Linked DNA regions of Elephas maximus indicus. The protein of the gene in region 4 purifies or fractionates together with the protein of the main gene of each other region. This does not show direct contact. Links are inferred from orthologs where the notes say so. Each region holds a gene or a part of one and is shown on either strand. Other genes may lie near its edges.

What was found.
Region 1: the proteins of MAX (region 4) and E2F6 purify together in Homo sapiens (affinity purification with mass spectrometry; 5 studies listed by BioGRID and IntAct, with this or other methods). This does not show direct contact. The link is inferred for Elephas maximus indicus from reciprocal best matches to the Homo sapiens genes MAX and E2F6.
Region 2: the proteins of MAX (region 4) and bromodomain-containing protein 8 purify together in Homo sapiens (affinity purification with mass spectrometry; 3 studies listed by BioGRID, with this or other methods). This does not show direct contact. The link is inferred for Elephas maximus indicus from reciprocal best matches to the Homo sapiens genes MAX and BRD8.
Region 3: the proteins of MAX (region 4) and L3MBTL2 purify together in Homo sapiens (affinity purification with mass spectrometry; 6 studies listed by BioGRID and IntAct, with this or other methods). This does not show direct contact. The link is inferred for Elephas maximus indicus from reciprocal best matches to the Homo sapiens genes MAX and L3MBTL2.

What each region holds. Positions count from the first base shown.
Region 1 is NC_064830.1:26,135,151-26,142,252, forward strand, and holds the start of E2F6 (transcription factor E2F6), read right to left. Parts: upstream 3,016-7,102; 5' UTR 2,721-3,015; coding exon 2,592-2,720; intron 1-2,591. UniProt on the Homo sapiens protein: Inhibitor of E2F-dependent transcription. Binds DNA cooperatively with DP proteins through the E2 recognition site, 5'-TTTC[CG]CGC-3'. Has a preference for the 5'-TTTCCCGC-3' E2F recognition site.
Region 2 is NC_064820.1:151,248,706-151,256,692, forward strand, and holds the start of bromodomain-containing protein 8, read right to left. Parts: upstream 3,009-7,987; 5' UTR 2,844-3,008; coding exon 2,825-2,843; exon of another isoform or gene 2,819-2,824; intron 2,785-2,818; exon of another isoform or gene 2,766-2,784; intron 1,510-2,765; coding exon 1,413-1,509; intron 1-1,412. Other genes in the region: kinesin-like protein KIF20A, read left to right, coding at 4,281-4,445, 5,931-6,020, 6,123-6,242, 6,857-6,995, 7,120-7,307, 7,394-7,523, 7,700-7,894. UniProt on the Homo sapiens protein: May act as a coactivator during transcriptional activation by hormone-activated nuclear receptors (NR). Isoform 2 stimulates transcriptional activation by AR/DHTR, ESR1/NR3A1, RXRA/NR2B1 and THRB/ERBA2.
Region 3 is NC_064822.1:185,384,257-185,391,720, reverse strand, and holds the start of L3MBTL2 (lethal(3)malignant brain tumor-like protein 2), read right to left. Parts: upstream 3,011-7,464; 5' UTR 2,946-3,010; coding exon 2,907-2,945; intron 23-2,906; coding exon 1-22. UniProt on the Homo sapiens protein: Putative Polycomb group (PcG) protein. PcG proteins maintain the transcriptionally repressive state of genes, probably via a modification of chromatin, rendering it heritably changed in its expressibility.
Region 4 is NC_064828.1:77,419,782-77,427,734, forward strand, and holds the start of MAX (protein max), read right to left. Parts: upstream 3,005-7,953; 5' UTR 2,776-3,004; coding exon 2,740-2,775; intron 2,023-2,739; coding exon 1,996-2,022; intron 1-1,995. UniProt on the Homo sapiens protein: Transcription regulator. Forms a sequence-specific DNA-binding protein complex with MYC or MAD which recognizes the core sequence 5'-CAC[GA]TG-3'. The MYC:MAX complex is a transcriptional activator, whereas the MAD:MAX complex is a repressor.

The DNA.
Region 1 (7,102 bases), on a different chromosome or scaffold from region 4:
GCCTTATTCTTCTATTCTGAGATCTCAGAGGCTAGCACGCTGTCCCTTGTCCCTATTACTTCTGGCCGAAGCCTGAAATGACCTCAGACGCTTCTTCCAAGGTGGAATAAGAGAATAAAAGATGAATCTCAGGGACTAAAATACGAAGCGATGCCTCAAAATTGGTTATACATTTCTCTTCACAAATGCCTCTTTCCCAATTCTCTGTTCTGGGTGGTAACATTCCTTCGAGAGCTTTTTGGAAACGCACCTTTCTCTGAGGTGACTGCGCTCTCCTCACTTACTCAGGCAACACCAAACACTAAAAAACCCTACAGGACAGAACAGAACTGCCCTATAGGGTTTCCAAGGAGCAGCTGGTGGAGTCGAACTGCTGACCTTTTGGTTAGCAGCCGAGCTCTTAACCACTGTGAAACCAGGGCTCCACCAAACACTCAGCAGTATACATAATCATCTCAGACAAAGAAAACAGCACATGTGATGACCTGGGGGTTAAGAAAGGATATGGAAAACTTTAGTGACTATAAGCAGTTCAGGATGGCTGAAAAGATAAACCCAGGAGCCACATTTCATTAAGGAGATTCTATTCTATTCTGAGAGCACTACGCAATCATGACAGATTCTTTAAACAAAATGACATGATCAGAAATATACTTTACAAAGATCATTATGGTTACTATGTGGAGAACATATGAGAAAGTGGGAGGCATGACTGGAAACAGGAAAACACTGCAATAATCTAAAAAAACAGGTAATGGTTAGAAGTGGTGAGTATTGCTGGTTAATTTTAATTGGATTGGGAGGATGAAGGGGGTCAGTTTGGAGATGGGAGACGGTAAGGATGATGCCTAAGATACTGGCTTGGGCAATACGGTGGGTGTGGTACTATTTACCAAGATAGAAGGTAAGCAAAAGCCCTGAAAAACACCAACATTTAATGAATGGGAAGGGGAAGATGAGTTTGCAAAGGAGCACAATGGAAGCCAGACAGGTAGATGGAGCACCAAGAATATGCGGTGTCAGAGAAGCTCAGTGGAGAGACTTTGGAACAAGAGAGAGTAGTTAATTGTGTGAAAGTTACAGGAGACGAGTGAAACATCTAATCAGAGTTAACAAGATGGATGATGAGCTTGGTTCCAACCCTTCAGAGGTGTGGGCAGGGCAGAAGTCCCAGAGCAGTGGGTTGAAGAGTTAATGAGAGGTGGGGAAGCGGACAAAGTGAGTGCAAACAACTATTTTAAGAAGCTTGTCTGTGAAGGGGAAGACATACAGCAGATGAAAGGGGATATAAAATTAAGGGACAGTCTTTTAAGACAAGGATCAGTTAAGCAGTCAAGAATTTATCATCTGGAGTCAGATATTCTGAGGTTAAATCAGGGCTCATTAGCTATCTTACCAGCTATCTAACCATGGGCAGATCACCTAACATCTCCAAATCTGTTTCGGCAACCATAAAACAAGAATAAGGAGCCCTGGTGAAGCTGTGGTCAATAGCTGGCTGCTAACCAAAAGGTTAGCAGTTCGAATCCACCAGCTGATCCTTGGAAACCCTATGGGGCAGTTCTACTTTGTCCCATGAAAAAAAAAAAATTTTTTTTTCAGTTCTACTTTGTCCCATAGAGCAGCTATAAGTCGGAATCAACTAGATATATCGCAGTAGGTCTGGTAACACACACGTTTAAGTGCTCGGCTGCTAAGCAAAAGGTTGGCTGTTAGAACCTACCCATCGGCTCCACGGGAGAAAAGACCTGGCGATCTGTTTCTGTAAAGATTACAGCTTGGGAAACCCTATGGGGCAGTTCTACTCTGCCCTATCGGGTCACTGTGAGTCTGAAAGAACTCCACAGCACACACCACTACAGAAAAAAAAGAATAATACTGTAACAGTGCCTATCTCTTAGGATTGCTGTGAGCAATTAAATGAGATAATATTCATAAACCATTTGACATGAAAACCGGGCATCTGACTGTTCAGTAATTGTTTAGCTATCACAAGTTACAGAAAGAAGCCAGCAGAGAAACTGAAAATATCGACCGAAATAGAAAATGACGGGTCCATCAATGTGCCCTGAGAACCCCAGAGAATAGAACTTCCAGTCTAGAACAAGAATAGACGAAATAAGGCTTCTGCAGAGAGGGAGCCAAATCTCCCTTCTGCTTTCTCTGTGAAACAGGACAGAAGCTAATTTACTGAATGGAGAGCTGTAGGGTGGGAAATGTGAGATGTGGACAAGGATTTAAACCTCTGCATTTAAGCGGGAGAATGCGAGAAGACGCTGAAGAGAAAAACAAATCTGCAGAGATGTACTGAACGGCCAGTTTAGGTAGACAAGCATGCATTTACCGTGCGAGGCTGAGCAGTTTTCTCTAAAAGTGCTCTGGAGCCCCGAGGGAAGAGCCAAAAAAGCTGACAACACATGTAGGAGCAAATAAGCCAGTCTGGTTCACAGTCCGTGATGGGCAGTGGGAGAGCCGGGAAGACGGAGGGGAAGCCCTGGGGGAGCTCATAATACAGACGACGGCCAGCCCGGCTCTCCTCCCAGAGAGGGCCCGGTGCCCGAGACCCTCCACCCCACGGTCCCGTGGCTTACCAAAAGGCCCTCCACGTTAATCGGGTCTCGGCAGCGGCGGCGAATGGTCTCCTCCGCCGGGTTCACGAGGAGGCTGGGCAATTTCCTCGGTGCCCGCTGCTGACTCATGCTGCCGAGCCGAGCAGCCATTCGCCCCTCGCACCCTGCGCACTCTCCCGCCTTCTCCCGCTCTGATCGAGCTACGCCTCCAACACACGGCTTTCCGGGGGCTCAGCGCGAACCAGATCCTGCGACTCCTCCGAGGCGCCGCCTGTCTAGGCCGCCCTACACACAGGAGCGTCACTACCCCCACGAACTTCAGCGTCGCTAACACAGAAGGGAGGAAAGGAAGGTGACCCACTACTGTTCAAGATGTCAGGCCCGCCATGTTCCCGCATGCGCGGTGCGCCGCCCCCTTTGCGCATGTCTGCCGCTGCCGCTGCCGCTGCCGCTGCCGCTACCGCAGCGCTCCCACGCACTTATCTATTCCCAGCGGCGGGCTGGCCGGAGCGCGGGAAATCCCGGACGGCGGATCCTTCGGAGAGGGTGGCGAAGGAAAGGAAGAGGTGGGGCAGGAACTCCAGAGGTAGGGAACCGGGATGAGAGAAAAGAAAGCAAACATGTTGCCCGTCCAGTCGATTCCTACTCACAGCGACCCCACAGGACAGAGTAGAACTGCCCCGTAGGGTTTCCAAGGCTGTAATTTTTTAGGGAAGCCGACTGCCATATCTTTCTCCCGTGGAGCAGCCCGTGGGTTTGAACTGCCGACCTTTCAATTAGCAGCCAGAGCTTAAACCACTGCACCAGCAGGACTCCTCCAGAGAAAAGAGACACCCGGGAAAACGCCACTGTGGTCTCAGAATTACTGACATTAATAAGTAAACCTGAGCACGCAGGGATGCTACTTTATTCTTGTAGTTCCCTCTGCACATCACAGGCTCTTGCCCATAGCTGATGCTTAGTAAATGTTGGCAACCAAACCACTGCGCAATTGTTTCCTTAGATGCTTCTGTCTCTCCTTCCTCTTTTCCTCTTATGAGTAATTGTTGATTACCTATTGTGTCAGGTGTTTGCTGGACACAGGAGATACACATTTGAGTTTGGCATAGACTTGATCCAAGATCAGAGAAACAAATACATTTTTATATTATGGTCACATGTCACTTCCCTTCTAACCCGCCAATGACAAATTCCTCAGCATAGCACACAAGGGCTTCACAATGTGGCTCCCAGGGACCCCTTAAGTAAGCCTCACCTGGAGTGTCTCTCTCCCTTACACACCGAGGTCCGGTCTGATTTTTCAGTTTCAGAATAGGGACGATACTCTCTTACTTTTGGATCTTTGTACATCTTACTTTCTCTGCCTGGAATCAATAATTTCCCGTTTTTACTGGTCCTAGCTGACTCAACTTAGCCATCACTTTCTTCAGAAAACTACTTCTTTTTCCCCATTCCCCTAGTCTTTGTTTGATTTTCCATATTTGTTCCTCTCCCCCTCTCCTAGCCCTCAACTAGTATCCTGCGCATATTTCTTTTTTTAACCAGTTGCCAGTTTAGTCAATTCCCACTCATGACAATCCTAAGGTGTGTCAGAGTAGAACTGCGGTTTTCAATGGCTGATTTTTCAGAATTAGGTATTTCTTCCAAGGACGTCTGGGTGGACTCGAACCTCTCCAACCTTTCAATTAGCAGCAAGCACTTAACCATTTACACCACGCAGGGACTCCATGCATGTTTCTAACCTGGCTCTTATCAAAGTATTTTGAAATTGTACGATGGGGCAGTAATTGTCTTCTCTACTGTTCGGACTTCAAGTCTTGCGGCCTCCTTGTTCCAATGGAGAACTGTCGGAATAAGGCCTGAGAACATGCACACACACACACACACACACACACACACACACACACACACACAAAGTTTTAAACTCGAAGGATAAGATTCAATGAGAGATTGAAGACCTTTCATGATTAGGCTGAATCAATTTCCTTTACTCCAGTCAGAATAAATGTTTTCTTATCTGGTGACAAGAAGAAAGTTGGAAAAGGAAACAATAGAGATGTGAGAATGAGGACCCTGAACCTGCTCCCTTGTACCCAGTCCCAAGAGGGTGGGGGACATGAGCAGGTAAGTTTGAGGACCTCAGAGCAGACAGCATACTCAGGTGAGGCCCAGGGAGGTGGCAGGTCTCACTGGGAAGTCCTGTATGACCATGGCACAGACACCACGGTAGATGAAGTAGCAATGGCAGTGTGGTACTCAGGGCATGAGATGCCCAGAGACCATCTCAGCATTTCCTGCAGTCCCTGATGGGTAGAGGAAGTGTTATGGGTTGAGTTATATCCCCTAACCCTAAATATGTTGCAGCCCCACCCATGTATCTATCAATGTGACTGCACGTGGAAATGAGTATGAGGAGTAGGAGGAGTAGGAGGAGTAGGAGTAGTAGGAGGAGTAGGAGTAGTAGGAGGAGTAGAAGTAGGAGCAGTAGGAGGAGTAGGGGTAGTAGGAGTAGTATTAGGAGGACGAGGAGGAGTAGGAGTAAGAGTAGTAGTAGTATGAGTAGTATTAGTATCAGTAGGAGGAGGAGGAGGAAGAGTAGTAGTAATAGGAGGAGTAGTGATAATGATAATAGACATTTATCCAGCATCTACTACGTGTTTGGCATTCTGATAAATGTTCTGCACACATTTTCTCATGAAACTCTCGTGTCACAACTGAAAGATATGTGTCTTTCTGCCCAATTTGTAGATCAGGAAAATGAGGATTAACAAGTCCTGGCTAGGTAGCGGTAGAGCCAGAATTTGAATTCCACGGCTGATTAATTAATTTGGTATGCTTATCCTTGAGAGGATTCTGACTAGTTGGGGGATTCTACAGTCAGAGATGGGGTCAGGTGAGTGAGGTGGGTGTGGGTCCGGATAGGGGTGGCAGGCACTCCAGGCTGAAGAAATGGCATGAGAACAGCTGTGGAGAGTCAGGGACTTGTTTGGGACACACCTCCAGGCACTGACAGCACCTATCAGCTTTACCCTGAGAATCACTCACACATGTCACACACTTGCATCTGTCTTAGCCTGGGTTCTCTAGAGAAGCAAAACCAGTAAAGCATATAAATATATAATATATATGTAGAGAGATTTATATTAAGGAAGTGGGGCTCATGCGGTTTTAAAGGCTGGAACATCCCAAGTCCGTGGGTCAGGCTGGAGGCTTCTCCTGAGTCACATAGCCACGGGGGCTGGCAAACCCAAGATTGGCAAACTTGGCTCTGGCTCACAGGCTGCGAAGACTGATGAATTTCAAGATCAGTGGGCAAGACAGCAGATAAACTGCTAGCTCACGTCTCAAGAACTAGAGGTCAGATGAACAGGAGCAAGATCCAGAGCGAGCAAAAGCCTGTGGGCCTTGCCAGAAAATCCACCTATTTTGGATGCAGGCCACACCCCCAAGGAAACTCCCTTCCAACTGACTGGCTACTCACAGCAGATCCTATCATGGAGGTGATCCTATTATATCAAATCTCATCATGGAAGTGACTCCATCATCCTATGACTGCCAGACTGCATCATAACTGCCAAACCACTGAGAATCATGGCCCAGCCAAGCTGACACACAACCTTAACTGCCACAGCATCTGTCATGTGCCTGGCAGTAGGTTAGGTGTTGAGGGTACAACTAAATCTGACAGGGACCTTATGTTGTGTTCCAGGGGCACCCAGCCTGGTGGAGACACATAACCTGGAAGTGTAAGAACTAAATTACAACGCGCATAACATGCTGTGGGAGCACAGAGAAGAAATAAATGAAATTGAATTTTGTATAGCTTGCAAGTGCCTTCTCACACAACTGCCTGTGAAGAAGATATTCTTATAAAAGATCCGTGGGTGGTGCAGAAGATTTTTGCTTGACTACTAACCTATAGTACGTTGACAAAGAGCTGCCTGAAATTCAGGCTGGATTCAGAAGAAGACATGGAATGAGGGACATCATTGCTGATGTCAGATGGGCCCTGGCTGAAGCAGAGAATACCAGAAAGATGCTTTCCTGTGTTTTATTGACTATGCAAAGGTATTCAACTGTGTGGATCATAACAAGTTATGGATAACGTTGCAAAGAATGGGAATTCCAGAATACTTAATTTTGCCCATAAGGAACCTGTACTTAGACCAACAAGCAGTTGTTCGAACAGAACAAGGGGATACTGCAGGGTTTAGAGTCAGGAAAGGTGTGTGTCAGGGCTGTATTCTTTCACCATACCTATTCAATCTGTATGCTGAGCAAATAATCTGAAAGATGGCCTATTTTGAAGAAGAACGTGGTGTCAGGATTGGAGGAAGGCTCATTAACAACCTGCGTTATGCAGATGACACAACCTTGCTTGCTGAAAGTGAAGAGGACTTGAAGCACTTAGTAATGAAGATCAAAGACCACAGCCTTCAGTATGGATTATACCTCAACGTAAAGAAAACAAATATCCTCACAACTGGACCAATAAGCAACATCATGATAAATGGAGAAAATATTGAAGTTGT
Region 2 (7,987 bases), on a different chromosome or scaffold from region 4:
TTGTCTGTGAGTTCTGTGTGGCCACTGCAATGAACTATTAAACCCAGGAGAGAAGTAGAAAGTGCTGTGGGAAAGATGGCTGGTGACAGAAATGGTATAGATGGCAGATAAAGGAGGCATGACTGACCTCCACCTCATAGCAATCAGCCTTGGACTGTTGATCTTGATTCTCCTTTCCCCTTGTGAAAAGTGAAGAGGTCAGAGTCTGCTCCCATGCCATTTTTACATTCTACAAACCTAAAGCTACTCTAAAAAATAAACTGTATTAATAAAAAAATTGGGCAAAGGACTTGAATAAATTTCTCCAAATAAGATAGCCATATGTCTAATACCAAAGTAAAACCTGTTGCTGTAAAGTCAATTCCGACTGATAGCAACCCTACAGGACAGAGTAGAACTGCCTCACAGGGTTTCCAGGAAACAGCTGGTGGATTCGAATTGCTGACTTTTTGGTTAGCAGGCAAACACTTAACCACTGCACCACAGGGGCCCCATCATTATGTCCAATAAGCACCTGAAAAGATGCTCAAAATCATTAGTTACCAGGGAAACTCAAATCAAAACCACAATGAGATGCCACTTTTTTACCCTTTAGGATGGCTATAATCAAAGACAACAGCAACTGTTGGCGAGAATATGATAAAAACGCAACCTTCATATATTGCTGATGGGGATGTAAAATGGTACAACTCTGGGAAACAGCTTGGTAGTTGCTTAAAAAGTTAAACATACAGTTACCCAGCTATTACATTCCTACATATATAGTCAAGAGAACTGAAAACACGTCTACACAAAAAATTGTACAGAATGTTCAAAGCAGGGCTATTCAAAATAATCAAAGTTGGAAACAACCCAAATGTCTACCAACTGATGAATGGATTAAAAAAAAGGTAGTATATCCATACAATGGAATATTACACAACCATAAAAAGGAATGAAGCACTAATACATGCTACAACCAGAATAAACTTTAAAAGCATTATGCTAAGTGAAAAAAGCCAGTCACAAAAAAAGACCACATATTATATGGCTCCATTTACATGAAATGTCCCAGAATAGGGAAACCTATCAAGACAGAAACTATGTCAGTGGTTGCCTAGGACTAGAAGAGATGAGTGAAGGTGGGAATGTGGAGTGACTGTTAAAGGGTTCCTTTTTTGGGGTAATGAAAATGTTCCAAAATTAGACTGTGGTGATGGTTATACAATTCTGTGCTTATACTAAAAATCATTGAATTGTATATTTTACATGAATTAATTTTATGGTATATGAATTTCATCTCAATAAAGGTGCTTTTTAAAAAGAAAAATAGTACTTAAAGGTTAATATGATTAACTATATAAATCCACCAGCATGAAAAAGTATCCTACAGTTTTTAAGACCTAAAAAAACATACCTCCTAGATACCTTACCAATTTTGATCTCCACTCCTCATAACAGAAGATGCCAAACACAGCTTCTCCCGGATGGACCATGGCTCTGTGGGGCCAGTACTCAGCAGCTTGTGTTCTAAAAGGAGAGAAGGCTTAGCACAACCACTGAGACACTAGTTCTAAGCCCCAAAGGGAGAACTAAAGGCCTAATACAAAACATCCCAACGTGTTAGAACAAAATGGGCTACTATGGTGCAGTGGATAAGCACTGGGCTGCTAACCTAAAGGTCCATGGTTCTAACACCCCAGCTGTTCACGGGATAAAGATGTGGCAATCTGCTCCTCTAAAGGTTACAGCCTTGGAAACCCTATGGGGCAGGTCTACTTTGTCCCATAGGGGCACTATGAGTCAGAATCATCTCCACAGCAACAGTATTCCCAAATCTTGATATCCACCCATACAGTGAAATATCACCACTAGAGAGTGGTACTTATCCATTACATGGTAGCTGCACTGAGTATAAGGTAGAAGGAGCCCTGTTGGCACAGTGGTTAAAGCACTTTCTTGCTAACTGAAAGGTCAGGCAGCTCCACAGGAGAAAGATGTGGCAGTCTGCTTTTGTAAAGATTATAGCATTGGAAACCCTGTGGAGCAGTTCTACTCTGTTGTATAGGGTCAGTATGAGTCAGAATCTTCTCAATGGCAATGAGTTTTTAATAAGGCAGAAGAACACTTTACTTTCTTAAAGGCCACAGCTTCAAGCTTCGCTTCATTAAAAAACAGAAAACGTCAGATTAAAACATTAATGTCAGATTAAAACATTAATGTCAGATTAAGCAGTTCTCTCGAAAGGCCTTATTTCACTCATATTTTCTTCCAATTTTAAAACAAGGGCTTACTTCCCAGAATCTGAACGGCCACCTCCTCCTGCCGCCCCGCCTCCTTTTTAGCATAAACTTGCTTATTTCTGTCAGTCCACCCCCGCTGTTTACTGTGGGACTTAAAAGACCTTTTCTATCCACCAAACGGAGGGAAATGGCTGAGCTGCACGAAACGCAATTACCCTAAAGGCAGAAAAAGCTCCCGGTTAAAACATCTTATTTCCAGTGCCTCACAAACGTTCGTTAAAAAATGAATGATTTTTTGAGATGCCGGCCACTCCGTAAGGCGCACAACGTCTCTTTGTCTGCACGCCCAAGTTTCTTAAGGGCCTTTATCCCTTTAGGATTCGTTGAGATGCTTCCCTCACACCCTCTCTCCCAGAGACACAAGACGCTGCACTTCTGGGCCTCTAACCGTTGGCCTTCACGACGCCGTACAGCGCAGGTCTCTGAAGACCCTGGGCTCTCAGGCAAACCACTCCTCCCACTCTCTAAGTGTGTGACAGAAACCTGGTGCCTATCCTCGGCTCTACTAAGGCTTTCCACGCAAAAGAAGCACTGACACTCACTGCCCGTTCCCGCCGCCATCTTAGCTTCGAAGTCTCCAAGCTCCGACGAGGGTTCAGCCAAAGCGAACCTTGTGGAAGTCTGGGAAATAGAGTACGGGCGCTTGTTCGCGGTGGCTCCTGGGAAATGTAGTTCTTTCCCGGGAGGAAGCAAGCACAATAATCCAATCCTCTGGAGCGCTCCTCAGAAGGTGTTGCTAAGGAAGGACAGGAGATGGCGGCTGAAACCTCAGGCTTTCCTTTAGACTTCTTAGGAAAGAAATGTCTAGGGTTCAAGAAAACAGTTAAGGGTGACGAATCCCTGGGGACCCAACAACAGATTCGCGGCAGTTGGTAACCCGGACGCGCAAAACCGAAGCGAGGTCGACCTAAAGCAAACGGTCTCCTAGTCTCGCCCGCCCTCCTTCCATGCTCTGATTGGTAACTGCAGGCTTTGCTATCTGATTGGTCGAACGAACGCAGCGCGTAATTTAAAACATTGTATCAGTAACAAAGCTGCGCCTCGTGGGCGGAGTCGTGGTCCTCCGCGGCGCAGGTCCAGGTTCGGCTGCTGTGTGTGAGCAAGCTGGTACCGGAGCGGGAGCGAGTGTCTCGGCTTTCGGGTAAGTGTGCGCCTGGGCTGGAACCGGGGTTAACAACTCTTGCCCTCCCTGAACGTGTTTTCAGGAGCGGAGCTGCTGCCATCTCTCTGTTTCTGAACACTTCTACATTCACGATTGGCCTTGGGGCGAGTTTGGAGAAGCAGCCTCCGGATCCTAACTCTGGATTCCGCCCGTGTTTCACAGTATCGGAGGGCGAGGCACTGCACTTGGAGCGTGGCTCTCTGCTTTTAGAGCCAGATATCTCTGTTCTTTTCTGTTAAGATGGAAATGCCGCCTGAGACTGGGTTAAGGAATTAACTCCTCCCACCCCTTTCCCTCTGCAAGACTTTGGAAAGAAAAAGCAAAAAAAACAAAAACAAAAACAAAAAAACCCAAACTCGTTGCCGTCGAGTCGATTGCAACTCATAGTGACCCTGTAAAACAGAGTAGAACTGCCTCACGGGTTTTCCAGGGAACTCCTGGTGGATTCCAATTGCCGACCTTTTGGTTAGAAGCCGAACTCTGAACCCTAAGCCACCAGGGTTTCCTTGGAAAGAAAAACCGAAACCCAGTGCTGTCCAGTCGATTCCGACTCATAGCGACCCTATAGGACAGAGTAGAACTGCCCCATAGAGTTTCCAAGGAGTGCCTGGCCCATTCGAACTGCCGACCCTTTGGTTAGCAGCCGTAGCACTTAACCACTATGCCACCAGGGTTTCCTTGGAAAGAAAAGGCAGTAGGAATTCAGGCGTCCAGACCAGGTGTCCTGGGGCAAGGGCATTGTTTCTTACCTAGAAATTCACAGGCCCCTTCTGTCCCTAAGGTTCTTCTCCCTATCCACTCTTGTCTCTTTTTAGACCAAACCTGCCCTTGCTGTCATGTCTCAAGGGATCCTTTCTCCGCCAGTGGGCTTGCTGTCTGATGAGGAGGTTGCAGTCTCCCCCATGTTTGAGTCTACAGCTGCAGACTTGGGGTCTGTGATACGCAAGGACCTGCTTTCAGACTGCTCTGTCATCTCCACCTCCCTGGAGGATAAGCAGCAGGTAAAGGAGCTGTTTGGAGGCAGCAAGTGATAACCCCAGCCTACTAGTCCATACAGGGGTCTGAGAGTTTAAAATTAAGTGCCAGGACAAGTAAAAAACATAGAGGTATGTATCCGTGTTGATGTTGTTGTTAGGTACTGTCGAGTTAGTTCTGATTCACAGTGACTCTATGCACAACTTAATGAAACACTGCTGGGTCCTGCACCATTCTCACAATCATTGCTTTGTTTGAGCCCACTCTTGCAGCCACCATGTCAGTCCATCTCATTGAGGGTCTTGCTCCTTTTTGCTGGCCCTCTACCAAGCATGACGTCATCCTTCTCCAAGGACTTGCCTCTCCTGATAATGTGTCCAAAGTACATCAGATGAAGTCTCACCATCTTGCTTCTAAGGAGCATTCTGGCTGTACTTCTTCTAAGACAGATCGGTTCATTCTTTTGGCAGCCCTTGGTATATTCAATATTCTTTGCCAATGCCATAATTCAGAGCCATCAGTTCTTCGGTTTTCCTTATTCATTGTCCAGCTTTCACATGCATATGTCCATAAGAACTAGTATTTGTTTTGCATCAGTGAAATGTTATGTGCATGCTCTTAGTTCCTCCTGTGAGGGAGGTATAATAGTTATTTCTCTTTTACCATGAGGCACATACATGTTAAATTATTCACACAAGATTATACTACCATTAAGTAGGTGGAACTTATACTCATGTTTTAATAATATCAACCATGTTATTGTTTTTGGTTGCCCCATAGAGTTTCCTAGGCTATAATTTTTACAGAAGCAAGTCTTTCTGCTGCAGAGCTGCCGAGTAGGTTGAAACCGCCAACCTTTTGGTTAGCAACTGAGAGCTTAACTGTTGCACCACTAGGGCTCCTTTTATTGAACCCTTCTTTCTGTTAGGCCAGGGTTTCTCAACCACATTATTGTTGGTAGCTGGATAACTCTTTGTTGTGGGGGGGGGATGTGCTGTCCTGTGCATTGTAAGATGTTCAGCAGCATTCCTGGCCGCAACCCGGTAGATGCCAGTAGCACCTCCCCAGTGTGACAACTAAAAATGTTTCCAGATGCTGCTAAGTGTCCACAGGGGCAAGGGGACAGGGAAAGGCCTTGGTTGACAGCCATTGTACTAGACCCAATGTTAAATGCTTAACATATGTTAACATGTTTTGTCTTCAGAAAAACTCTACCCAGAAGCCTCCTCTCCTATAGAGAGATTCATGAGGCAGGGATCTTGATGTCTCTCACTGTAAACTACCAGACTATCCTGGTGCACCACTTCTAACTCAGATAATTGGTGTAGCAATTATCTTGCAAGCTAGTTTTGCAAGATACTGATGAGACAGGGAAGGGTGACAGATTAGTGAAAAAGTCCGTAATTTTGGGGTAGTGCCAGCATGATTCCTAGGAACTATGCTGTGTTTGTCCATCTGCTCAGAGGTGACAGCTGAGATTAATGTGGTTCCGGGCTGGAATTCTGCCACAGGTTCTATCTGAGGATAGTACAGAGAAGGTGAAAGTATACCTGAGGATCAGACCCTTGTTACCTTCAGAGTTGGAACGGCAGGAGGATCAGGTAAGTGTCTGAGGAGGGACAATTCAAGATGGAATGATACAGTACAGAAGAGGTTCCCAGGAATTTTTCCTTCTGTGACAACCATGTTTCCCCCCTTCTCAGAGTTGTATCCACATCGAGAACGCAGAGACTCTTGTTCTACAAGCACCCAAGGACTCTTTTGCCCTGAAAAGCAATGAACGTGGGATTGGCCAAGCTACCCACAGGTTCACCTTTTCCCAGGTATGGAAGTACTGGGCTGTGAACAAGAGACCAGCATGTAGAGGCAACTTTGTTTTCTCTGGAAAGAAAGCTTTTCTTTCTCTCACTCTCTGTCTGTGGGTATTCACACACACACACCATTATGAAACACCGTTATACACCCCTACAATTTGGGGGGTCTGTGTTATCTGCTAGTTCACTCTGTCAAGTACTATATGTGCATTTATTCACAACTCTATTATTGTCCCTGTTTTCCTGAAAAGGATGCTCTGGCACAGTGAAGGTAAGTAACATTACCAAAACCATGTAGCTAGTTGGTGGTAGAGCTAGGACTTGGATCCAAATCCATCCATCTTCAAAACTCGCCTTTGTGACCGTTACACTACCCCATTGTGTGTGCAGCATTGCACCTAATGTACAGCGTTCCTTAAGTATCTGTTGATTTGGCTGAAAGATGTAGTAACAGAGACTGGTTGAATCTTCAGTGTTGAGGGAGCAGCTGGTAGCAGTGTAGGAGGAAGCTGCTTAAGTGGACTCCAGAGCCACCACCCAGGAAGGAATGAATCTGCTGGGTTTGCATAGGAGACAAGTGGTAGATAAAGGATGGGCCTTTGAAGAACTGGTTCTGTCTCTAGATCTTTGGGCCAGAAGTGGGACAGGCATCCTTCTTCAACCTGACAATGAAGGAGATGGTAAAGGATGTACTCAGAGGGCAGAACCGGCTCATCTATACATATGGAGTCACCAACTCAGGGAAAACCCACACAATTCAAGGTAAGTGGTAAGGCCTCACAGGATTGCTGATTGTCCTGTAATGGTGTTGTCTTTGCTTTCGATGCTGTGAGTTAGGGGGAGAAAGGCACTTACCTCAGCTGTCCATCTTTCACATAACCTCTAGGGACCATCAAGGATGGAGGGATCCTGCCCCGGTCCCTGGCTCTGATCTTCAGTAGCCTCCAAGGCCAACTTCATCTGACGCCTGATCTGAAGCCTTTGCTCTCCAATGAGGTAATCTGGCTAGACAGCAAGCAGATCCGGCAGGAAGAAATGAAGAAGCTAGCCCTGCTAAATGGAGGCCTCCAAGAGGTGAAGTGTTGGTGTCTATAGAGGTGGGGTAGTGGTACAAATCTCTGGAAAGTTTTGTGCTTAACCTTTTCCCCGGGCCTCTCCAGGAGGAGCTGTCCACCTCCTTGAAGAGAAGTGTCTACATTGAAAGTCGGATGGGTACCAGCACCAGCTTTGATAGTGGCATTGCTGGGCTCTCCTCTACTAGTCAGTTGACCAGCAGTAGCCAGTTGGATGGTACGTACCATAACTGGGTTCTTGGCCAAGTAACAGGAACCCATTCCCTGTTCCCAGCAGCTGCCAGGGGTACAAACCAGAGGTTGCAGCCTGAGCTCTGCCTTCCAAGGATCCCCAGGCCAAAGGGGAGATGGACACTCTAGGGTTGATGCTCTGTACGTTGGCTTCTTCCCCAGAAACAAGTCACCGATGGGCACAGCCAGACACTGCCCCAGTAAGTGTCCCAGCAGACATTCGTTTCTCCATCTGGATATCCTTCTTTGAGATCTACAATGAGCTGATCTATGACCTGTTAGAACCACCTAGCCAGCAGCGCAAGAGACAGACTCTACGGTTGTGTGAAGATCAGAACGGCAATCCCTACGTGAAAGGTGTGGGAAAGTGGGGAGGCTGGCATGAACCCTGTAGTGGACTTGAGGGAAGAACTAGGGAAAGAGTTGGGTGCTCCCATCTTATACATTTTT
Region 3 (7,464 bases), on a different chromosome or scaffold from region 4:
TTGGTTCTGAAAACGGGGTCTCCTAGTGGAAGAATGACACAAACCAGGCAGGAGGAATCCAAGTTGGCTCAGTGCATGCGGAGGGAGGCCGTGGATTTGTTATCAGCCCCCTACCTAGTTCTTTGTCAAATCAACACTTTTAGGCACCTTTTCGCACACACCAGGATCATTACTCTTGTTTGTACAATATTTCTCCACCACAACTCAACAGAAGAGCTTTATAAAAACAACAAAAAAAAGACAAACCTATTGCCGTCAAGTCGATTCCGACTCATAGTGACCCTATAGGACAGAGTAGAACTGCCCCATAGGATTTCCAATGCTGTAATCTTTACAGAAGCAGATTCCTACATCTTTCTCCTACAGAGTGGCTGGTGGGTTTAAACTGCCAACCTTTCAGAGAGCAGCCAAGTGCTTAACCACTGCACCAGGGCTCCTATGAAGTGTATTATACCCAAAAACCAAACCAAACCCATTGCCGTCGAGTCGATTCCGACTCATAGCGACCCTTTAGGACAGAGTAGAACTGCCCCATAGAGTTTCCAAGGAGCACCTGGTGGATTCGAACTGCCAACCCTTTGGTTAGCAGCCATAGCACTTAACCACTACGCCACCAGGGATTCCATGAAGTGCATTACAGGATAGAAAATACAAGTTAGGAATTCACTGAGTTCATTCTGTAGATTTACAAATGATGATATTTTAACAGAGTTCAAATAGAAAACAACACTATGAAAATACCCTCTGGCAGATGCCTCCTGAAGACTCTGGGATGGAAGGCATACAGTAGGAACTCGTTCTTCCCCTTCAGCATAGGTACACCAAAAGAATCTCAGCTCAAATACAGTTTAAGTGAGGGGACCCAGACTGTACACGAGGAGGCAGGAGGCAAATGACACACAGAGAGCTATGGCGCAGTGGTACGTACCATAGTTTTGGATCTAGCTCTGATCCTAACTAGCTGTGGGTCCTTGGGCAAGTCACTTAACCTCCGAGCCTCAGTTTTCTCAACTATAAAATAAGAAAAATATTTGGCTCAGGAGTATCTGAGAGGTAATGAGATACTGTAGACGGATCTACCTAGCAGCTAGTAGAAAAGGTACAGCAAGGTGAAGAGTCCGTGCATTGGGCCAGTGCTCAAGTGCTCAGCTGCTAACCAAAAGTTCAGCGGTTCGAACCCACCAGAGGCTCTGGGGAAAAAAAGACCTGGTGATCTGCTCCCGTAGGAAGCCCCATGGGGCAGTTCTCTGTAATACTTGGGGCCACTATGAGTCAGAATTGACTTGAAAGCACACAACAACAATAACACCACCGCTGCTTACTAGCCATATGACCAGCAGCAAGTCAGTCTCTCAGTTTTGGGGTCTGCAAAATGAGGATAATAAAACCTATTTCATAAGATTTGCAGAACAAGGAGTTAATAATACAGGTAAAGCACTCAGAACAGTGACCTGCACTTAGCAAACACTTAATAAATGTTGGCAACTATCATTACCTTTTATGTTAAAAAATATTTTGACAAGGTTAATTTTATAGAGTTTCCTTGGTTTTGAAAAGACCCTTTTTAACTCCAGCAAGTCTGGAAAATAAAATACAAATTGAACAGTTCAAAGTATGGGCTCTCAATCAGATTTGCCTGGGTGTTCCGGCTCTACCAATTATTAAATGTGATTTTGTGCAAGATATTTGACCTTGCTACCCTCAGTTTTGGAGGATTGGTAGCACAGTGCTTAAGAGCTGCAGCTGCTCACCAAAACACTGGCAGTTCTAATCCACCAGTGGCTCCTTGGAAAACCCATAGGGCAGTTCTACTCTTGTCTGTAGGGTCACGAGTTGGAATTTACTTGACAGCAATGGGTACAGGTACCCTCAGTTTCTTCATCAGTGCAAGCGAGATAAAACGCCTTCTTTAGAGGGCTGTGGTGAGGATGAGATAAATTATGTAGAAGCTAGGTCTGCTTCCAGCAGTAACAGAACTAAACTGTGAGCTATTACTATTCTCCACTTCAGTACCTCTACATTGTCGCGTTTTTGAGCTATTCTACTTTCTGTTTACAACTACACGTGTAAATGTGGTAGAAAACTGCATTCAAATGTAGAGTGCCCAGAAGCCAAATGATTAAAGGTAGGTGGGTTACAGGTGGAAACCCTGGTGGTGTAGTGGTTAAGTGTTACTGCTAAACAAAGGTCGGCAGTTCAAACCCACCAGGGGCTACTTGGAAACTTTATGGGGCAGTTCTACTCTGTCCTGTAGGCTCTCTATGAGTTGGAATCGACTCGACGGCAGTGGCTTTGGTTTGGGTTACAGGTTGTAGGAGAGTGGAAAAAGCATAACAGGTAGAGTCTGGGAGCCTGACTGCATGCCTAACAGATTTCCTTCACAGTTCAGCTGTGTGACCTTCCTGGGGAGTCGCACCGCCTCCGTAAGCCTCAGGTGCTGTAACCTTAAGAACGAAACAGTAACACTGGATTGTTGCGAGTATACCCGGGAGATAATGCACGTGACCGTTCTAGGCACTGAGTAAGCGTTCTTTAACCTTTAGCCTCCCTTCACTTCACACCACGATGTGACAAGTTTCACAATCCCTAAAGAATACGACCACGACCACGAGACGGGGAGAACAAAGAAGATTCAGAAGAGCTCCGATCCTGGGTCTAACGCCCCATCTCCTAGGCCAGGGAGGCTACTCCTTTCTCAACCACTCGCCCGACGTCCAGCCCAGCCGCGGGGAAGCAAAAGGCAAGGGCAATCGCTCGCGGCCCTGGCTCAGCCCAGCTGCCTAAGTGCATCCATCCTTCCAACCTCCACCCTCAAGGCGTCGCTAAAAAGCCTAAAGAAGGGTTCGCCAGGCGAAGGAGCGCTCGGGGTTTCCATGCCCATTGGCGCTAAGCCCTCACCCTCTCACCTCGATGCCCCGGGGTTTCTCCATGAGCCCTAACACCATTTCTTCAACCGTCACCAGGTGTAAGAAGCCATATTGGCCTCGCCGCTCGCCCCGAGCGCACTCATTGGCCGCCTCCCTGAGCAACGGGCCAATCACGCTGCAGGAAGGCGGAAAAGCCGGTTCCGCGCTCGCTCGGCGCCTCCACCCACTGCGGGCGGGGAAGCCGCGGGCGGTTGTGGGACTTATAGTTCCCCAGAGGGTTACGCCTGTAAAGGCGTTGCCATAGTGACGTGAACGTCGCCCGGCCCCGGCTTTGAGGTCACTGGCGCTGACTGTTTAAACTCCACGCCAGTCTCTTTCCCCAAGCCTGGCCCTATTCTTCATTAAACAGTTCTTAAGCACCTACACAGGCACTGTGTCAGGCGCGGAGGATAACCCCGTGGGACTTCGCAGTCTATCCAGAGAGAAATGTGAGGTGCTCTTGGGCTGAATGCCTGGCAGCCCTCCTCATTTCCCATTCAGGCAGAAGCTGGAATAATTTCATGCCCAATGCATAAATGCTCCGCGTGTTCAAATTTCTCCAACATTCGTCTTCCACCAACATTTCCTGAATAAAGCCCGAGGCTCGCAGCCTCATCCCTTTTGGATTTCCCACAAACCCCCTACACAAGGGGAGTTCTAGGCGCTGTTGTGGCGCTTTAAGAGCATCATCTCGATCCCATAGGCATCCAATCACCGTTTCAAAGATGAGGCATCGAAGGCTCTCCAGGTTTAGATACTTTCCACGGTTAGGCAGAATTAAAGATTTACTATGAAGTGTTTCCCTATCTCGTGCTGTAAGGAGCCCTGATGGCAAAGGGGTTAAGAGTCGGCTGCTAACCGGAAAGGTGGTCAGTTGGAGGTTCGAACCCACCAGCCACTTTGCTGGGAGAAAGATGTGGAAGGTCGCTTCTTGAAAGATTACTGCCCTGGAAACCTGATTGGACGGTTCTACTCTGCCCTATGCGGTCGCTAGGACTCGGAATCGACTCAACCGCAACAGGTTTGGGTTTGGGATGCTACGTTGTGTCCTGATTGAGACTCTAAATGTAGTAAGTGGAGGCTGGATATATGTAAAACAACAATTTATTCTACACACTGTGTAAAAGGTAAAGTGGTCTTTTTTTTTAAAATAAAGTTTTGTTTTTCATTAAAAAAATTAAATGTTCTAGGGTAAAAAATCACAAAGTTTAGTAAAACAAAAAGGTTTTATTCGGCACATATTCAAAGAGGTAAAAGTGGGAAATGGACAAGCGTGGTTCCAGCGCCAATGACTGCCCGTCTAAGGAATATTACAGAATAAGCAAAAGTGGGGAAACAGACAAACATGCTTCCAGAGCGTGTCTGAGTCCAAGGAGTGTTATAATCAGTATATATTAACATTACAAATGGGCCAAACCACTGAAAGCTTCATCTTTTCACAGATTCGCTAAAAACTGCCAAATTGCCATGATTCTATGTTTTGAATAGTCTTTCTTAATAATCGTTGGTACAGGTTTCAGTAACGACAGGAGGGCCCTCACTGATCCAACAAATCTTATTATTTGCTAAATGCTAATAGAAAAAAGATAAGAGTGGAAGGTATGTGGGTCTTTTGCGCACTGTTTGTTTATTTGAAAAGTTCCCTAAAAGATGTTTCCTAAGATTGTCCTAGCTAATATCTTTATACCACAGGGCCCAGTTGATGTGTCCTTGTGAGTCCAGCTCCAGCTGGGTCACATTTTAGGACAGGGAACAATGGCTCCAATATTATCTCCTAAATCATTTCCTTTGATCAGAGATTGGCGATAATACATTGATGATCAATACCTGGACTCAATATTCTTAGATGGAGGCTCTTTAAATTAATGGTGCTGGATTTCCACTGAATACCGTCACCAGGATCTGAAGAGCAATGTTCTCATCAATCTCATTGCCAAAATGAGCAGATTCAATGTACACCAACATTTTAGCCCGAGGCCTTCTTTTGCCTTTTAGGTGTGTAAGACAATAGAAGGTAAATTTTATTATGCCTAATACTATCAAGACACAGAGTAAGAATATTATTATTCTTGCAATAGTGATCTAACCCATGTACTTATTCCTGATGGTAACTAACTGAGGTGGGAAACCGCAGGATGGCAAGTGAGGCGGGCAGCTCCGCCCAGTTGGCATTGTCCCTCACTGATGGCCCCAGTGCATCAACTATCTGATGACCTCAGCATCATTACAGGGACTGTCCACTAATCCTGATGGGCCATGCAGGGACTGTCCACTAATCCTGATGGGCCATGCCCCTAGACACACCCTGAACACACCTGAAGAAGAGCCCACCCCTACCCTGTCTCCTTTCCGTATATAGACCCCTGCGCTTGCCAACTGAGGAGCCATCTTGGCAATGCAGGTCCCAGTGTGCTCCTTTGCTAGGCCAGCCAAATCAAGTTTTCTTCTTTTGCTTTCATCTGACTTGTGTCTCTGAGTCTCACCCAGCGAGACCTGGAGGTCCAGTAACACAACCAAATAAATGTGGTGTTTATAAGGGCATTACAACGTGTAACAAAGTAGCATGTTGTCCAGTCTACATATATCCTGTTCTACTTCTGTGTTATTTATTCAAATGGAACAAGAGGTATTTGCTACAGCACAGGCTACACTTTCTTGGGCTAATAAAAAATCTAAGAGCTAATCTGTTACCTCATGTCACCGTGACTTAATGAGGTCAGAGACTGCCATTGTGCTTCCATTCCACTTGGCAACTTCATCTGCTGTTGGTCCCATGATAACTGATAAACTTCTTAAAGTTTCCTCCAATTCAACTATAGTGTAAGTAGGAACTAAAGCTATCAACCCTACCCTGAGTGTTGGACAAGTGGGTTTTCTCCTGACTCTCGTTTTACAATGTGTAACGATTTAACATCACTTTTCCAATATTTACTAGCATCATTACTATGAATATCTAAAGGTAATCCTAAAATTCCCAAAGTGCATTGCCCACGCATTCGCCAGGAATCTAAACAAGACATTGACCATATAAATTCACCGTCAGTTGGAAAGGATCATCGAAACTAGCGTAGTTGGATCCACCACACAAAAACATATATCCATAAGGAGCACACAAAATTTGTCTAGAGAAAACAGAAGATACAGAAAAATTTACATGTGACAACCAAGTTTCCGTTAGAGAATACATGATTATCAAGACAATAGAGGGTGGACCTCTCCTGCTGGAGGTCTCCAGTTAATCTATTTAAAACATTCTAAGCAGTTTTTCCTGAGAGCAAGCTGCCCCTCCTATTAACAAGCATGGGTTACTTTCTCAGAAGCAGAAGACAAAATGGAGTCTGGGCCATGAGGTCCATCTTCTCTGAGAACTTGGTTTATTTAAGATACATAAATTTCTGCATAGTAAGGGGGTGACAGTTTGATTACAAACATTAGGTGTTTCATACAGCATTGTCTTGAAGACTAATTAGACTAATTACTGATTTACCATCAAAGTCCCAGGTTCAAAAGGACACCCAAAGGCAGTAGCCTGTGTGGGTTATCTCAACCTACATGAAAGCCAGAAATCTGGATTCCAGGAGAATTACAACTCTTTTGCCAGATATCAAGGATGGCTTTCATATCTATATTCCCCAGATTTAGGAATATATTTTTGTGGATATCCAGTTTTGTATATTCACAAAAATATCTTGTGGATATATTTTTGTGACGTCTTTTCCTGGTTTAGGTATCAGGGTTATGCTAGCTTCACAGAGTTCAGTAGTGTTCCTTCTTCTTCTATGTTTTTGAAGAGATTGAGTAGGATTCGTGCCATTTCTTCTCTGAATGTTTGGTAGAATTCTCCAGTGTAGCCATCTGGTCCTGGGATTTTTTTTTTTTTTTGGCAGTTTTTTGATAGCATCTTCAATCTCTTCTTTTGTAATGGGTCTGTCTAAATTTTCTACCTCTGTGTTAGTTTCAGTAGGTGGCGTGTTTCTAGGAATTTGTCCACTTCATGTGGGTTTTCAAATTTGTTGGAGTATAATTTTTCATAGAAATCTGTAATGATCTTCTTTATCTCTGTTGGTCGGTTGTAATGTCACCAGTTTCATTTCTTAATTTGGTTATTTGCCTCCTTTGATTTTTTACTTTTTTTAATCCAGCCAGTGGTTTGTCTGTTTTTTTGATACTTTTAAAGAACCAACTTCTAGTTTTGTTGATTCTATTGTTTTTCTTTATTTCTGCCCTGATCTTTATTATTTCCTTTTCGGTTTCTTTTACTCTTCCTTTTCTATTTGTTTAAGTTGTCATTTTAAGTTAATTATTTTGGATCTTTCTTCTTTTTTAATGTAGGCATTTATTGCTATGAATTTCCCTGTGAGTACTCCCTTTGCTGTGTCCCAAAGGTTTGATATGTTATGCTTTCATTTTTGTTTGATTCTAGGAAATCCTTGATTTTTTTTTCCCCTTCAATCCCTTCTCCCCACCTGTAAACCCAACATGCTGTCAACAAGTAATGTTGGTCGTTCTACCTCCAAAACAGATCCTATATCCCTTCACTCCTACCACCTGAATCTAA
Region 4 (7,953 bases):
TTGTGATTATCTTAAAAGTCTTAACAAGTATATATGTCAAAATAAAAACAAAGGGTCAAACCCACACGCCTTCCCTAACCCCCAAAATCTAAGGGAAAAATCCTAGGCACCTTAACACCAAACTAAAAACATCTAGGGAAAACAATGAGATTGGCATTCTAAGAGAGTAGAGGCATTTTAATAATCTAATAAACCAATTTACATCAACTTTTCAATATTTTGAAAAGCAGAACACTTTCAAGAACCGTGAGCCAAAACCTCACAAAGAAAGCTTTTCTCTCAATGGAGAGTCAAAATAATTCCAATTGAATGGGTAAGTCTGCAAAGGAAGCCTATGAGAGCTCTAGTCAATCCCTACCCGCCAGTCCTGACCAGGCCCTGGGGCAGATCTTAAAAATGGAAACTTGGAGGAAAAAATGTTTCAAATAGACTGGGCCGTGAACATGATACATCAGTTAATGTAAACAGACTCTAAATTATTAGAGATAATAATAACCAAATAAGGAATTCAATTTTCAAATATATGTACAAATACAGGTATGTGGTAATACTTCAAAGACCTAAGGCAAAAAAAAAAAAATCTTCTTAGCGACTATTTTCCAGGACAATTTTTAGGACTCCTGGGACAACTGTATCCTGCAGTTTAATGGAAGTATCAGTTCTTAAAAGCAACACTTTTCTTACTGTGCATCTGCTTGGGCCACTTGCACAATCTTTGCTCGCTCTAATAAAGAGCAGGTACAAGAGTGCCTGCTTTTATCCTGTGGTAATTAAATTCGTATACCAGAAGTATCAAAGTGGCATCATGCACACTCTAACCAGCCACTAAACAGCTTGAATATTCCACACATTCTTTTAAAAATCAGAATAACATAAAAATCCGGGTTCCAAATCTTTCTTAAAAAAAATAGGGAACCTGTCAGCACTGAACCCTCACCCCTACATAGTAACAACTCACTGGAGTTGAGTAGTGGCTGCCTTTTTAGAAGAGGTGTGTGCTCCCCAGTACCCCAGTCCTCACTTCTTCCCACTGCTGTATTCCTAACTATCTCGCTGCCTGGCCCCCACAGACATTTGAATTGTTGATCCCTATTCTATACCCTTCTTTCCCACTGTCATATATTAGATACTCTGATATACTTCTCCCTTCACTTCTCTGATTTGTTTTTTGTCTATTCCTTCTTCCCCTCTAATCTATTATTCACAGAACACTCACAGTACTGGCTCTGTCTCCAAAGACATGAGATTAGTGTACACCTAAATCCACAGAATCATCTACTAAAAATACTAATAACCCTGATAAATTACTGATAACACTGTATGGAGTCCATACAGTGTATGGAGTCCTCATCTCTTAGCAAACCTGTCTGCCAATGCCACATCTTCCAACAATTTTCCTATTTTTTATACTTCTCCTTCAACTCAAATATAAAAAGTCAGACCACAATAAGCTGCATGTGACACTTTCATATTCAACCTCTGGCTCCTCTACATTTCCAATTTCTGCACTACAGTATCACATGCCAGATTCTAGGTCTACAGCAGTCACATGACTTTTGGTTAAAGGTGATTGCATGTGCTTCAGCTTCACTCACGACTAATATGCAGATATTGTTTGGAACCTCCTTGTTCTACATCTTCTGAGGACACTGCCCTGAAATTATGCTACAGTCTACTTCAGAACGCTGTATTTCTCATTTCCTGCTTTAGAGTGTGGTGGCTAGATTCCCCATCTGAAAACTACTGGAACGATTCCTTTCTTCACATACAGCTCATCCCATTCACAGTCACTGGAACCTATCACCCGAGAGTCTGGAATTATGAGAATTGCAACCTTCCCCCAATACCTGGAATCCCAGAACAAGGCCCCACCTCACCTTAGCGGTTAACAGATTTACTACAATGTTAAAATAGAACGATCTCTTTTTTTCTCTGACCCCCAAATGTACTAGAACTGAACGGAAATGAAAATGAAATGGAGAGTAGGAGACGTACCGCAGATTGAAACCTCGGTTGCTCTTCCTGAAATAAGAGAAAAAAAAAAATAGAAAATATAAAAGTTATTTTTACACTTCATATTCAATAATTAGAAAATGCCGGCGGCGGAGGAAGCGGCGGGTAGGGAGTCAGTCCGACCCCCTCCCTCCCTTCCCACCCCACGCTCCAACCCCTCAGCGGGATCCGGCAGCGGGGCAGGGGGGTCCTGAGCGCCGCCTCTCCTTCCGGATCCGACCGGGGTAGGAGGGGGTCCCGAGCACTGTCTCTTCCCCCTTGCACCCAGCTCGGGGCTTCTGGACACTCTCAATCCCTCTCTGCCCTCCCTCACCCCCAGGATCCGCAGGTCACAGGAAAAAGTGATCGCAGACCGAGAGAACAGGTTCTGAGCACCGTCCCCTTTCCCAGGATCCGGACAATGGGATCCCGAGCGCACCCCACCCCTGTCCCCTGGATCCTGAGCGGAATAGGGTAGGAGCGGGCGGCCGCAGCACCCTCCTCCTCAGGGGAGGTGGGGGTCCCATAGGCCGCGTGTCTCCTCCCCACTTCCAGTCCCTGGAGGCCCCTCCGCTTAGGAGCTGGGAAGGAAGCGAGCCGGGAGGGCGACTAAAGCGGTCCAAGTCCCGGAGAGAAGGGAAATGAGGCGGCGGCAGCCCGGCCCCCTCCCGCCGGCGCCCCGCTGAGAGTCCCAGCCGCTGTCCCCGCCTGACAACCCGCACGGGAAGAAGAAGCCCCGGGACTCACGTCGCTCTCCACCTCGATGTCATCGTTATCGCTCATTTCCTACGGCCCAGGGAGCGGCCACTGCAGCGGCGGCGGGGAAGGGGGAGGGGTGAAGGGGAGGGGGAAGTCACCGACAACAACAAGCCGAGTCCCCCCCCACACACACACACACACACTCACTCACTCACTCACTCACTCACTCACTCGCTCTCTCACACACACAACACGGGCGAGAACCACCTCCTCACTGCAGCACCGGATCAACGGCGGCACGCACGCCCGGTCGGCCCCCTGCCACGTGACGACTCGTCACGCTTAGGCCGCCGAGACTTGTAGTTCCCATTCCTTTGACCGACCGCCCAGCTGGCGCCAGAAAAACTACAAATCCCATCAGGAACTTCATCCAGGAGACGCCAGCCCGGCTTGTTGACGAAGCCCAAAGCGCCTGCGTGTCCCGTGGGGGGGGGGGCGGAGAGAGAAGCGGCGCGGTGCCTTCTGGGAGTCGTAGTCCACAGACCGCGAGTTGTCAGGAGGTTTTCCTCCCGAGGCAGCAGAGGAGGCTTCTGGGAAGAGAGGACACGTGGAGAGAGCTTGGGCTTTTGGAGTCCGGCACCGTATGAGCGCCGGGCCCAGGGGACAGGGTGGAGGTTCTGAGGGAGTAGCTGGCTGCCTAAATAAGCTGCTTCTCCTTCTTGCACCTAGTTTTACTTTGTCTTCTTGATTCCCGAATTGTCCCGCTTTGCGACCTGGGGCGTAACTTGCCCGCGAGGGAGTCCTGTGGCTGCGAATTAGGGGGCGCGGCTCGGAAAGCCCATGCAGACCTGCGGGATTAGGTTCTGAGAAGAAGGTGTCAATGGCAGGTGTTAAGTGGTGTTACAAGAATCGCCTTTCTATGGGACTGCTCCCAGGCGCGAGAATCTTGTATTCATTCATCCCGGAGTGACCAACCTTGCTACTCAGTGTGCGGCTTTGCTTTCACAGATCCCTTTCTTACCTTCAACAACCGATTTCGTGGAAGTAAAAGCCCCTTTGGAGTTTGTTGTAGCCCAGGCAGTTTACGGAGTGCCCCAGTTCAGAGTGTCATAATTAAGAATCGCAAAAAGGATCAAAACGGGAAACTGGTTGCAGCCCCCTACACAGTTTAAATCATATGTAAATATTGTGAGAAGAGATGTGATCACATTCATTCTACCAATATTTATTGAACACCTAACATGTGCCAGCACGAGAATGCGCTAATGTACAAGACCTGAACGGTCCCTGTCTTGGAGCCGCTCACAGCTGTGGAAGCAAAAATGAGACTGCTCTGCTGTCATTCGAAGAGTATACAAGTCCCACAAGAAGAAAAAAGCAAAACAATAACAAAGACACCCTGAGATAAACAAAGTGGCAGAAGTACTTTTACATGTGGTCTCGAATGAAATCTTGAGGTTTCTCCATAAATTACTGATGCCCTAATGAAAACCATTTTATCTCTGACTTTTGAATGCAGAAATCTGGGGATATGTCACCATCTTTGTGACAGTATCTCCCCATGTGAGCATGTCATTTATGCTGCAAGAGACAAATGTAAACGCGGTAAATCTTTCCTTTACATTTTTTCCTTTAATACCTGTTTTGTGTCTTATTCAGTGATCCTGTTCAACTGAAGTCTGCATGTCTTCACAAGGAAACCTCTTTTCTAAATGAGTTTGTGAGTCTCCCTTTCAAACGACCTAAGTGGGACGGACACATGTAGCAAACCATTATGTGATGAGTTGATGGGGTATTAGATCTGGATGGTAGCTCTTCGGTGAGTTAATTAACTTGATATTGGAAGCTAGGGCTAATTGATGATTTTAACAAATTATCATTGGGTGCCTGCTATGCACAAAATGCTATAGGGCAGTAGTTCTCAACCCTGGCCATAAGTTAAAATCACTTTGGGAGGTTTGAAAAACCTCAATGCCCAGACCACACCCCCAAACAATTAAGTTCAGATCTTTTGGGGTTAGAGCCAGGCAACAGTATTGTTTAAACTCTTTAGGTGATTCCAATATGCATCCAAGATTGAGAATCATTTGTATAGTGCATGCCAAGATAAATGAGACAGCTTTCCACTGAATTATGTACCTTAAAAGGGTGAGTTTTATGGTGCGTAAATGATATCTCAATAAAGCTGTCAAGAGGTGGTTGTTAGAACAGAACAAGGGGATAATGTGTGGTTTAAAGTCAGGAAAGGTGTGCGTTAGGGTTGTATCCTTTCACCATACCTATTCAATCTGTATGCTGAGCAAATTATCCAAGAAGTGGGACTATATGAGGAAGAACGGGTCATGAGGATCAGAGGAAGACTCACTAACAACCTGCATTATGCAGATGACACAAACCTTGTTTGCTGAAAGTGAAGAAGACTTGAAGTACCTACTGATGAAGATCAAAGGCCACAGTCTTCAGTATGTACCTCAACATAAAGAAGACAAAAATCCTCACAACTGGACCAATAAGCAACATCATAATAAATGGAGAAAAGATTGAAGTTGTCAAGAATTTCATTTTACTTGGATCCACAATCAACGCCCATGGAAGTAGCAGTCAAGAAATAAAACGATGCATTGCAACGAGCAAATCTGTTGCAGAAGACCTATTTAAAGTGTTGAAAAGCAAAGATGTCACTTTAAGGACTAAGGTGCACCTGACCCAAGTCATGGTATTTTCAATTGCCTCATATGCACGCAAAAGCTGGAATAAGGAATAAGGAAGTCTGGAGAAGAATTGATGCCTTTGAGTTATGGCATTGGCAAAGAATGTTGAATATTCCATAGACTGCCCAACCAAAAAAAAAAAACACAAAACCAAACTTGTGGCTGTCGAGTCAATTCCGACTCATAGCGACCCTATAGGACAGAGAAGAACTGCCCCATAGAGTTTCCAAGGAACGTCTGCTGGATTCAAACTGTCGGACCTTTAGTTAGCAGCAGTAGCACTTAACCACTATGTCATCAGGGTTCCCTGGACTGCCAAAAGAAGGAATAAATCTGTTTTAGAGGAAGTACAGCCAGAATGCTCCTTAGAAGCAAGGATGGTGAGACTACATCTCACGTACTTTGGACAGGTTATCAGGAGGGACTAGTCCCTGCAGGAGGACATCATGCTTGGTAAAGTAGAGGGTTAGCAAAAAAGAGGAAGACTCTTCAATGAAATGGAGTGACACAGTGGCTGCAACAATGAGCTCAAGCATAACAGCAGTCATGAGGATGGCACAGAACCGGACAGTGTTTCATTTTGTTGTACATAGGGTTGCTATGAGTTGGAACCAACTTGACGGCACCAAACAACAACAAAAGCTGTTATAAAAGAAATAAGGTAGCCTTTACCCTCCCTGAATTTAAAACCTGGCAAATTATGAACACAAACAATTATAATGAAGACAGATTATGTAAATGTTGAATTAGTAGAAAAGGCAGTGAATGCTGTAAGAAAGGAGAGGAGGGAGAAATTTTCCTAGGTCTGAAATGGTGTTAGGGAGGTGTTGATGATCAGGGAAGTCTTCTTAGGCTCTCGAGGACGAGGACCAGTCTGCAGGGACCAGAGCAGACTGTGCTCATCATTGATTCTCTGATTGTGGAATGGAGACCTGAGCAAGTAAGCAGAGGTAAGGAGGAAAGGCCTTCCGGGTAGAAAGACTGGAGATTTTAACACATCTGTTTTTAGTACTTGATAGAATATGGAGACCTGTCAACCTGGTTAATAAATTTGACCTAATAGACATAAAAGACTGCACCCATCATTGTAGAATACATTCTTTTCAAGCAGTCGTGGAACATTTACAAAAATTGAGCATGTTCTAAGCCATAAACAAATTTCAAAGGACTGTGATCTTAGAGAGGATGTTCTCAGACCTAATGTAATTAAACTAGAAATAATACAAGGATAACTAGAAAACCTTCCTAAGTTTGGAAATTAAGAAATACTTTTAAATGACCTAAATAAAAGGACTTTCATGGCCAAGGCACATAGGCAGGAAAGAGAACTAAGCATATTAGAACAGAAATTTCCTCTAGTTTTCTTTTTTAGTGCTTTCCTGATGTGAATAGTAATTTAGGACTTTAATTCATTTTCATCTTTGTACACTTGCATTTCTTTGGTAAAGCCCTATGTGAACTTATCAAGACTGGGCCTTGTCACTGAGCAGCCCAATTTCTCTAGCCCCTTGCTACTTTAAGGAGTCCCTGAGTGATATAAATGGTTAATGCATTTGGCTGCTAACTGAAAGGTTGAATGTTCAAGTACACCCAGAGGTGCCTTGAAAGAAAGGCCTAGTGATCTATTTTCAAAAAATCAGCCGTTGAAAACTCTACATCCTGGATAGAGTGGGAGAAAAATGTAGAACAAAATTCAAATTCATGAAAAAAGACCAGACTTACTGGTCTGACAGAGACTGGAGCAACCCCCAAGACTATGGCCCCTGTACACCCTGCTAACCCAGAACTGAAGCTACTCCTGAAGCCTACTTTTCAAAGATTAGACAGGCCTACAAAACAAAAAATAACACACAAGAGGAACGTCCTTCTTAGTTTAATCAAATATACAAGACCAAATGGGCAACTCCTGCCCAAAAGCAAAGACAAGAAGGCAGGAAGGGACAGGAACTGGATGAATGGACATGGGGAACCCAGGATGGAAAGGGGGAGCATGCTGTCACATTGCAGGGATTGCAACCAGTGTCACAAAACAATGTATATAAATTTTTGCATGAGAAATTAACTGGAGCTGTAAACTTTCACCTAAAGCACAATTAAATTAAAAACAAGCAAACAGAAGCCCTACTCTGACACACATGGGATCACCATGAGTTGGAATTGACTGGTCAGATCTAGTTACTGCTTGTGTTGCGATAGCAATACTGTCAGAACTCATCTAAATTGTCAAGGGACAATAAGAATCAGGATCAGCACAAAGCTGATTCCTGTGAGGTGGAGGTCAGACATACCTCAACTCTCCAACTTTTCACTGTTTCTGACGTCAGTCCCCCACCTCCCCGCCCCCGCACTCTCTACTTCTCTGCTGGTTTTGATAATTCGTTGCAATGGCCACAAAAAACTCACAGACCATATTTACAATGAAATGTTTTATCAAGGAATTAATAGGGTACAACTGAGGGTCAGGACCAGGAAGCAAATAAGCAAAACCTGGAAGGCTTCCCTGAAGTGGACAGTACATCCCTTCCTATGAGAGTACAGCTCTCTCAGCTCC